Linked DNA regions of Solanum lycopersicum. The protein of the gene in region 2 binds, or shares a complex with, the protein of the main gene of each other region. Links are inferred from orthologs where the notes say so. Each region holds a gene or a part of one and is shown on either strand. Other genes may lie near its edges.

Region 1 (4,051 bases), on a different chromosome or scaffold from region 2:
ATCTTTGTAAATAACTTTTTTATGCAATAAATGCTATTTTTAATGCATCAAACCAAACAATGCATAAAAATAATTATTGAATAATGAATGCAAGCATAACTAATACATGCATTACTAAACGACCCCTTAAAACATAAAAATTGCAGGTCTCATTTTGATAACCATGCGAAACCAAACCACAAATGTTCAAGCAAATATGGAATTTAAACCATCGTAATGAATCTATGGTATTCCACAATTCCAGGGGAACTCAGACATAGATCCTTAAAGTCATGAAAAGTGACTAAGATGTTAGACCTGGCTTTGCAAGAGGTTAAGGACTGCAGAACCAACACAGTTATCCGCTGCAGCCTTTTTCACCACCATAGACAGTGCTTGCATCGAACCCATCATTGGCTGCAAGACATAGCTTCATAAGCACCAATGACGAGGAGTCAAACTGAATGGAAATTAAACCAGTTTAAGCAGCGTTACCTGGCAGTAAAACCATAATCCTTGTATAGAAAGTTTTCCTAAGCGAAATTGATGTTCAAGCTGTGCCACCATTGCTTGGTAGTCCTGGAAAAAATATATTCTAGACTTCAATTAGCTCTCCCTTTTTATTTTCCTTTATTATTCTTTCTCTTAATACTACATTGTACATGTATGTCCACACAGCATGGGACAATTATGGAAACAACTCATGGCATCCAAAAACCTTAGACAATTAGCTGAACCAAATTAAGGTAGCAGACAGGTTTTCTCAGCTTCCCAGGAGATAATCTTCTGAAAGTCACATTAATCCATCCACAAAAAGAGATTTTTATTTTGTAAGGTAATAATTTTTTTAGTAATAATTGAACCATATACAAGCTATACCAAGGAGGAGAGAATCTACAGTATCCAAAAAGAGATTAAACAAATAATGAAGATGATTCAATCCTCCCAGAAATGATTTCTCAAATATAAAATTTAGATATCCTCAAGAAGAGCTTATACATAAGATGGATAACATACCAGATAAACAAGTAGAGAAAAGAATAATCCACCATGCAACCATAGAAGGATCAATAAATAAGAAACTTACAAGGAGGAGTGCCCTTAGAGCTGCAGCAAAGGCATGATTGACTAGGCCTGTCTTGAACTGTGACCTTGTCTCCACAAACTGGTTAATCAAGATATAACTTTCGCATAACGGGAACAGCCTTTTTGCAAACTCCTACAATAATAGCCCAAATTATTTCAGCTAATGTTTTAAACTAAATACGCTATGGATTTTCTTTCATGTTTACTTGGCTTTTAGCCTCAAAATATTTCGTTGCTTTAGAACACTATATATCAGGGATGAAATGTCTCATTTTTTCGTTAGCTATTTTTACAGAAAACATATCTCCCTATAAGTACCTGAAGAGCTAAATCCATAGATGCATCAACCTGAAAGGTTATGTCATCCTCCTTCCCTCGGACTTTCTTGATCGAAATATAGCGTCCTTCAATTCCAATAAGGGTAGATAGAAGATCATCAATAACAATCAATTCCTGCATAATAGTTAAGACAATATTTTAATAAATGACGGTGACCCTGACCAAACTCAAAACCAAGATCGTCAAGTTCATATAGGACATAACATATTAACAAGAAAAACCATTTAGATGGGCCACAACATAATAGTCCTCACTATCCTTAACCTTAAAACTTAAAGCAAGAAAATACACAAATATTCACAGGACCTTAACTTGCAAACTATATCAACACACACACAAGAAGAAAACATGACATAAGTTGACTACAGTCTCGTTAGAACTTATGATCCAGGTGTATACGTTTGGAGTCAAATATATAACTTCTTCTTACTGGCATTATACTAGATGATAACAATAACAATAAGAGTGACAACCAACAACAATATGAACAAAAATTATAAAAAGATGGATAAGGAACAACCTATTTGATTCAGCAGAGGCATACCTGAATGGTGGCATGGTAACAACCTATAGCTTTATCTGCTCCGGAACTGCATTAAAATTTCCAGACAGAAACAGAAAATAAGTAGGAGATGTACCAAATAGAAGTCACCAATTTGACTTAAAAAAGTAAATCAAACACACCAAGATAAAACACATTATTAAAAAAAAAAAAATTGAATTGTAATAGCAGAAAGCCAAGGAATAAAAGGGGAACCTTGATTCCGCAGAAAACCCCTTGTACTCAGAAGTTCCAGACGAAATCTTTGTTTCCTGTATGTATTTTCAAGGGGCAAAATAGTTTCAATTCAACCTAGGACATCAAGAAAAAGAAGAAAAGAAGGGCGGAAAAAAGCAGCATTCATGAAGAGTCGAAAAAGTCCAAGAAAATGAAGGTTTTAGATAACGGCATGAAGGGGTTTATTGCATACATATGTCAAGCAATAAAATGTTGAGTACCTGATAAAATTGGCCAGTAAGAAAGGGACGATCGAGATTCCAACCAGGAGTTGATGGGCATAAAGAAATTGCAGCGGCTGAATCCATGTAATTCGTCTCAAATCTTGAAGTTGAAGTAAATGGGGATGACCCAACTCAGTTTCAGCAGGAATTGCTCCACCGGCACTTCCGGTGACTGTTTGAAACCGTAGACACGACCACAATGCCACCGCAGTTCAATTCAGAACTTAAACTTTCAAGATTTCACAAAGTGTTTCTCATTTTAGGGTTGATGTTCTGATTAGCTGAAGATGAAATTTTTGGGAAAGCAAATTCAGTCTCACAGTTTAAACAAAAAGAGAACTGCAAATTTTGCCCAGAGATGGTAGTAGTTCTCTTTTGTCGAATAATAATAATAACATATATATATATATATATATATATATATATATATAATTTCAAAAATCTCCACACTTTGTTTTGCTAATTAAATTTTTTAAAAGGGAATGGGTCAAAAATGTTGTTAAACTATGTAAAAGAAATAAAAATATTTTTCGTTGTTTATAGTTTGACTCAAAAATATCTACCATCAATATTTTAGTTTAAAAGTACCTTTGTCAATATTTTTGTCCGAAATGATCCTATAGTTACTAAATGAGTCAAAAATGTTATTTTCTGAATAAATATATTATATTTTTCTTTTTAACACAATCTTTTTCCTAATTAAAATATTATTAACGAACCATGTTTTTGTGTTCTTTCTTTTGAAATCACTTTAACAAAATAAAAAAGTGAAATATTTTTTTCTTCTTAATCTCATTTTATCAATTAAAATTGAATAATTTCATGTACCCCTTCGACATATCATATACGTCATATATAAAATATCGTAATATATTCATCATTAATTTATATTTATATTACGATAAAAATATTTATTAAAAATGTGCTAAAAGGATAATAAATAATATATTTATTTGGAAAGTAAATATTTTTGACCTATTAAATAACAACAAGAATATTTTTAGATCAAAATATTGACGGCAAAGATACTTTTGATCAAACAAAGAACTTTTACCCTTTCCCTAATTTAAATATTATTAATGTGAAAAATCTTAATATGACCAATTTGCCTTATTAATACATACTACTATTATTTAATTACTTTCATAAACATATCTTATTCGTCAATGAACAAAGATTAAATAATTATTATTATTATTATTATTATTTAGAAAGAGTAGTTATTTGTGTTTCATGAATGAATCTGAATTATAATTATTTTTTTGGTCATATCAAAGTAACAATAGAGTTCTTTGCATTTAAAACATGGGTATAATACATAAATATGCTCTTTAACTTGATTTCGAATTATATTTATGCTATTTAATTTTGGATTTGCACAAATAGACACTTAAATTTGTATAAAGTTGAACAAAGAGACACATATGTCATCCTACGTGTCATTTTTTTGTCATATGTGGTGTATTACGTGTATTGTTCAATGTAGGACTCATGTGTTTATTTATTTAAAAAATTGAATAGTTAAAGTGTATGTTTGTGCAATATAAAAATTGGAGGTCAAAATTAAAATTTAAAGTCAAGTTTAGGTCCAACATGTTTATGCCTAAAACATGCATGATTTTGTGCTTTGCCTCCTAAGTCCTAT
Region 2 (4,215 bases):
GTTTTATCATTTGATTTTCCCCGTGACTTGACTTTATCACGAGAGTTAATTGATGTATCTGAAGTCCTGTAATTTATAAGGAGATACAAACTGTTAGAAACATCGAAATACTGGGGGGGGGGGGGGGGGGGATCCAAATTTCATTTAGAGATGGAGAAAAAAGATCAATACCTTGATTGCAGCTCATTAATGCCTTCATATAGTCGATCTGCCAAACTTCGGAAGCGCAATATCAGGTCAAATAAAACAAAGAGTGTCTTGTTAAGCTCCTGAGAACGTTCTCCAAGCAAAGACTTCTCTAAAATTGCAAACAAATACTTTTCATGTGCTGCAAGAAGATCATCAAGGTCTTTCGATAATTCCATTTCTTTCACAAGATTAGACCATGAGACCTCCAAAACTTCAAACATGATGTAGTACTGCAAATTAGAAACAAAGTGATTCATCTCATCCCAAAGAACTTGACACTTTCTTGATGTCAAAATCAACTGCGACTTAACAGCCTGTGGCAACTTAGAAAAGAAGTGGGAAGTGATACAATTTGGTTTCATTGTCTTCCAAGTACCAGTTAACGCGTGTTCTACTCTTCTGAGCTTCCACAAAAAATTGAAGACTCTTATATATCTTGTCATTACAGACTCTGTAAAAATTGTATTCAAAGGAACACCAGCATCATATTCCAGAGAAAAGACATCCCACCCTCTATCTCCAGTTTTATGTGGCATCATCTTAACTCTTAATCTAGCGCGTATATCACAACCATCATACTGCGCATTAGATGAGGTGATAGCACTCTCCAACAAAGTTGCCAGCTTAAATGAGCTGATAGTATTAGCTGGCTCAGATAGCTCAGGACCAACAATATCCATTAGATATTGTACAAAATCACCTTGACCAAGAAGCAAATAGCGCTTAATGGCAAGACAATGTTCCTTGAACTTGTACCTTTTGTGCATAAGTTCAAGTAAATGTTTATCGATTCTTTTTGCTGCTTCTGTAACCAGAGATTCAAGCGCATCAGTTTCGCCATACCCAAGACTTCCTCTCGTGGTTGTAGTTCCAACAGCTGCTGCTGCTTCTGTTGCAGCATCAGCCCAACCACGATCATCACAACAAACTCTGAGAAAGTTAATTGATTTACCAGTCCTTAATATCTGTTTGGCAAGAGACTGGGAAATAAAAGCAGGAAGCATGGCAGCATGAAGCCGGTAACCTTCTCTCCAAAGAGACTCGTCTTTTACAGGTTGACTCACAATGAAAAACTCAGCAAATATATCTTCAAGTTCTCCTTCAAGCACCCATCTCCTCACCATCTCAAAAAGAGGGGAACACACCCGACGCAATAACCTCTTCATAAAATCATTAACGAGTGGATCACCATGCTGAGCATGCATGTGAATTGCACCAGCCATTGCCCCACCCTTTAAGCTCTTACAGTTATCAACTAAAACAGCCATCAATCTCATCTTCACAATTGGCTCAGCAAACCAAACTGTCAGTCTTCTTAGAGAAATATAATTCCCTGAACATGCACCCTCTGAACCCAATGGTATTGGATTCATTGCCTGCCCTTCGAGCACCGCTAACAATTTATAGTACTCTGAAAGCTCATCTTGCAATGCAGCACAAAATGCTTGTCCAACTGTGCCTACATCTTGAGCAGGGAACTGATTCATACTATCTGAGATGTATCCTTTAACTTTCCTAAACAACCAGCCAAGCTCACAAAGCTTCCTAACAACACTTCTCGTAGCCCTTGGAACTTTCATCCAATCAGGCAACACATAACCATCCTCATTCTTATCATACTTTACATACTTCCCGTCAATCCCTTGACAAGCATATAGCACATCCCTCACTAAAACATCCTCAGATACCTCATTTTCTTCCTTCGACAAGTTTACAAACTCCTTATACGCCATATCACGTAAGTTCTCCGGATCCTTGGAAACCATCAAAACCCCTCCACTCCATCCCTTCCCTACTTCACCTTTACCCCTCAAAACTCTCGAATTATCACCTACACAATTCAAACTCTGAAAATCATCACTCAGACTACGATCACTATAGCCTTTCTCCATTTTACCCAATTTACCCACCAAACCCCTAGAATCCTTACTATTATCCATGTTACCCTGCACATTATTCAAAACCTTAGAACTATCATTTCTGAGCCCGAAATTACGATTCGATTCACTACCAACCAATTCCGGTAAACCACCCGACAATGCAGAGCTAAGAAACCCGTTAGGTGCTACAGAAGCAGACTGGTGTTTTTGAATTTTCCGATCTTCGGAGACGGTTTTAAGCAAATAAAGAACAGCCCATTTGTTTCTTACACTACCCTGTCCTGTTTTCAACGAGAATTTGGTATATACATCAGCAAAAGTTAAGGCATCAGACGATTTACCTTGAGTAGCTAACCGTCGCTTAATGGATTCCACCATTGCGGACTCATCCGCAGCAATTGAAGGTGTCATTCGACTGGAGAGTATGCGAATGGCGTATCTTAGCGCTTGGTGATACTGTTGATCGGAAGGTATGACAGGGTTAGGGTTTAAGATAGTGGACTGGTGGGAGTCGGCGGTGGAGGGCGGCGTAGAAGTGGAAAGTAAGCGGTGTACTAGCTCTTTCACTAGATCTAGTGCTCTTCGGTCGCCGTCGTCCATGGTGGATCTGCGGTGGCCGGCGGCGGAGATGGTGAAGTTAAGTGAGAGAAGTTGGTGAATATGCCTAAAGGAACAGTTTTTATTTTTATTTTTCTTTTTTTAATTTTGATTTAATATGGGCGCGGAAATGATATTTCCCTTTATATTTTTTATTTATATAAATCAATTGAAATATTTGTTTGAAACTTTAAAAGATGAAAAATTCATTAGTATGGAATTATGATATTTTTATGTATTATAAATTGAAATTCTTAGTTTTCCTCTTAGCGTACTTTTGAATTTTAATGCTCTATTGCTAAATTTGATATATTTGCTTTCAATTACAAGAAATTCTAGTCTAGAAAGGATAGTATCGTATATCTTCTTTATTTGTATAATTTAGCTTCCATTTTTTAAAGTCAAGTGCTTTCGATTTCTTCTTCTTTTCTTTATCTTAGTTCTTTTTCATATTTTATTAGCTCAATTGCAAGAATCAGTGAAGATTTTTGGATTGAGATCAACTATTGAAGAACAGCTTAAGAACAATTAGAAAAGAAGAGGAGAATTAGAGAAGAAGAGAGATTTAAATAAGAGAACAATGATTTGTATGTTGATTGATCTGATGTGTACATATGAGATGTGTTTATGTACAACTGTAGTACTAACTTATTCAGTCTAATTCTCAACTAACTTCATGATCAACTAACCAACTCTATGACCAACAGTAATTGTACCTAACTAACTGACAGTTAAAACAGAATTTGCTGACATGACCAATAGTAAGGCTAATTAGCTGATTACTGTAACATATGTATATAAATACTAAAAAGATAGATTGATAGGTTAATCTTAGTGAGTCATACGTTTCACATATTATCGACTTTGATGACATGTTATTATATATCATGATCATATTTTATATGTTACTGAGTTATTTTTACTGCATTTATGAATGAAGTATTTTTTTCACTCAAGATGCGTATAAGTAATTGCTTTTTAAATTCTATATACACTTTTTTACTTTGATCTATCAAAATATATCATGATTTAATCAGAGATATTTCTCTAATAAAGATGGATATAATAGAAGTATCTAGAATTCAATTTAATTAAACTTGATCTGTAATGATGATAGAAGTACAACTATATAGAATAAAGTCTTGCAATGACTAAGTTAATTCTAAAAAAAATTATTAGCTTTTGATTTCATATTTGAAGTTGAATTAAATTTAAATGTAGATCAACTTTAAAATTTATCTTTGAAATTGAATATTTTTTTAGTTGGAAAAGATAGTTATTAAAATAAAAAATTACTTAAAGATTATAATATACACTTCAATTGAAAATCAAATTTCCTTTTAGATTATGCACAAATAATTCAGGAACACATTAAATATGAATTATACAAGTATTTTGTGTGAAGTTGCAAAGAAGAAAAAGAAGTGAAGAAGTAGCAACACTAGCCAACTTTTAAATAATTATAAAAAAAATAAGTTATATTTTAGATAATGCCTTCACAAGTGATAGACCAAAAAGGGTAATCATAAAAATTATTTTAAAAATATAA

The links.
Region 1: gamma-tubulin complex component 3 (region 2) and gamma-tubulin complex component 2 share a complex: the UniProt entries of both Arabidopsis thaliana proteins name them as parts of the gamma-tubulin complex. The link is inferred for Solanum lycopersicum from reciprocal best matches to the Arabidopsis thaliana genes SPC98 and AT5G17410.

Annotation. Positions count from the first base shown.
Region 1 is NC_090801.1:61,614,570-61,618,620, forward strand, and holds the start of gamma-tubulin complex component 2, read right to left. Parts: upstream 2,805-4,051; 5' UTR 2,491-2,804; coding exon 2,404-2,490; intron 2,218-2,403; coding exon 2,162-2,217; intron 1,995-2,161; coding exon 1,949-1,994; intron 1,519-1,948; coding exon 1,384-1,518; intron 1,199-1,383; coding exon 1,067-1,198; intron 559-1,066; coding exon 475-558; intron 397-474; coding exon 298-396; intron 1-297. UniProt on the Arabidopsis thaliana protein: Gamma-tubulin complex is necessary for microtubule nucleation at the microtubule organizing centers (MTOCs). Required for the positioning of the gamma-tubulin-containing complex on pre-existing microtubules and for the proper organization of cortical arrays.
Region 2 is NC_090808.1:2,980,279-2,984,493, reverse strand, and holds the start of gamma-tubulin complex component 3, read right to left. Parts: upstream 2,802-4,215; 5' UTR 2,670-2,801; coding exon 172-2,669; intron 67-171; coding exon 1-66. UniProt on the Arabidopsis thaliana protein: Gamma-tubulin complex is necessary for microtubule nucleation at the microtubule organizing centers (MTOCs). Required for the positioning of the gamma-tubulin-containing complex on pre-existing microtubules and for the proper organization of cortical arrays.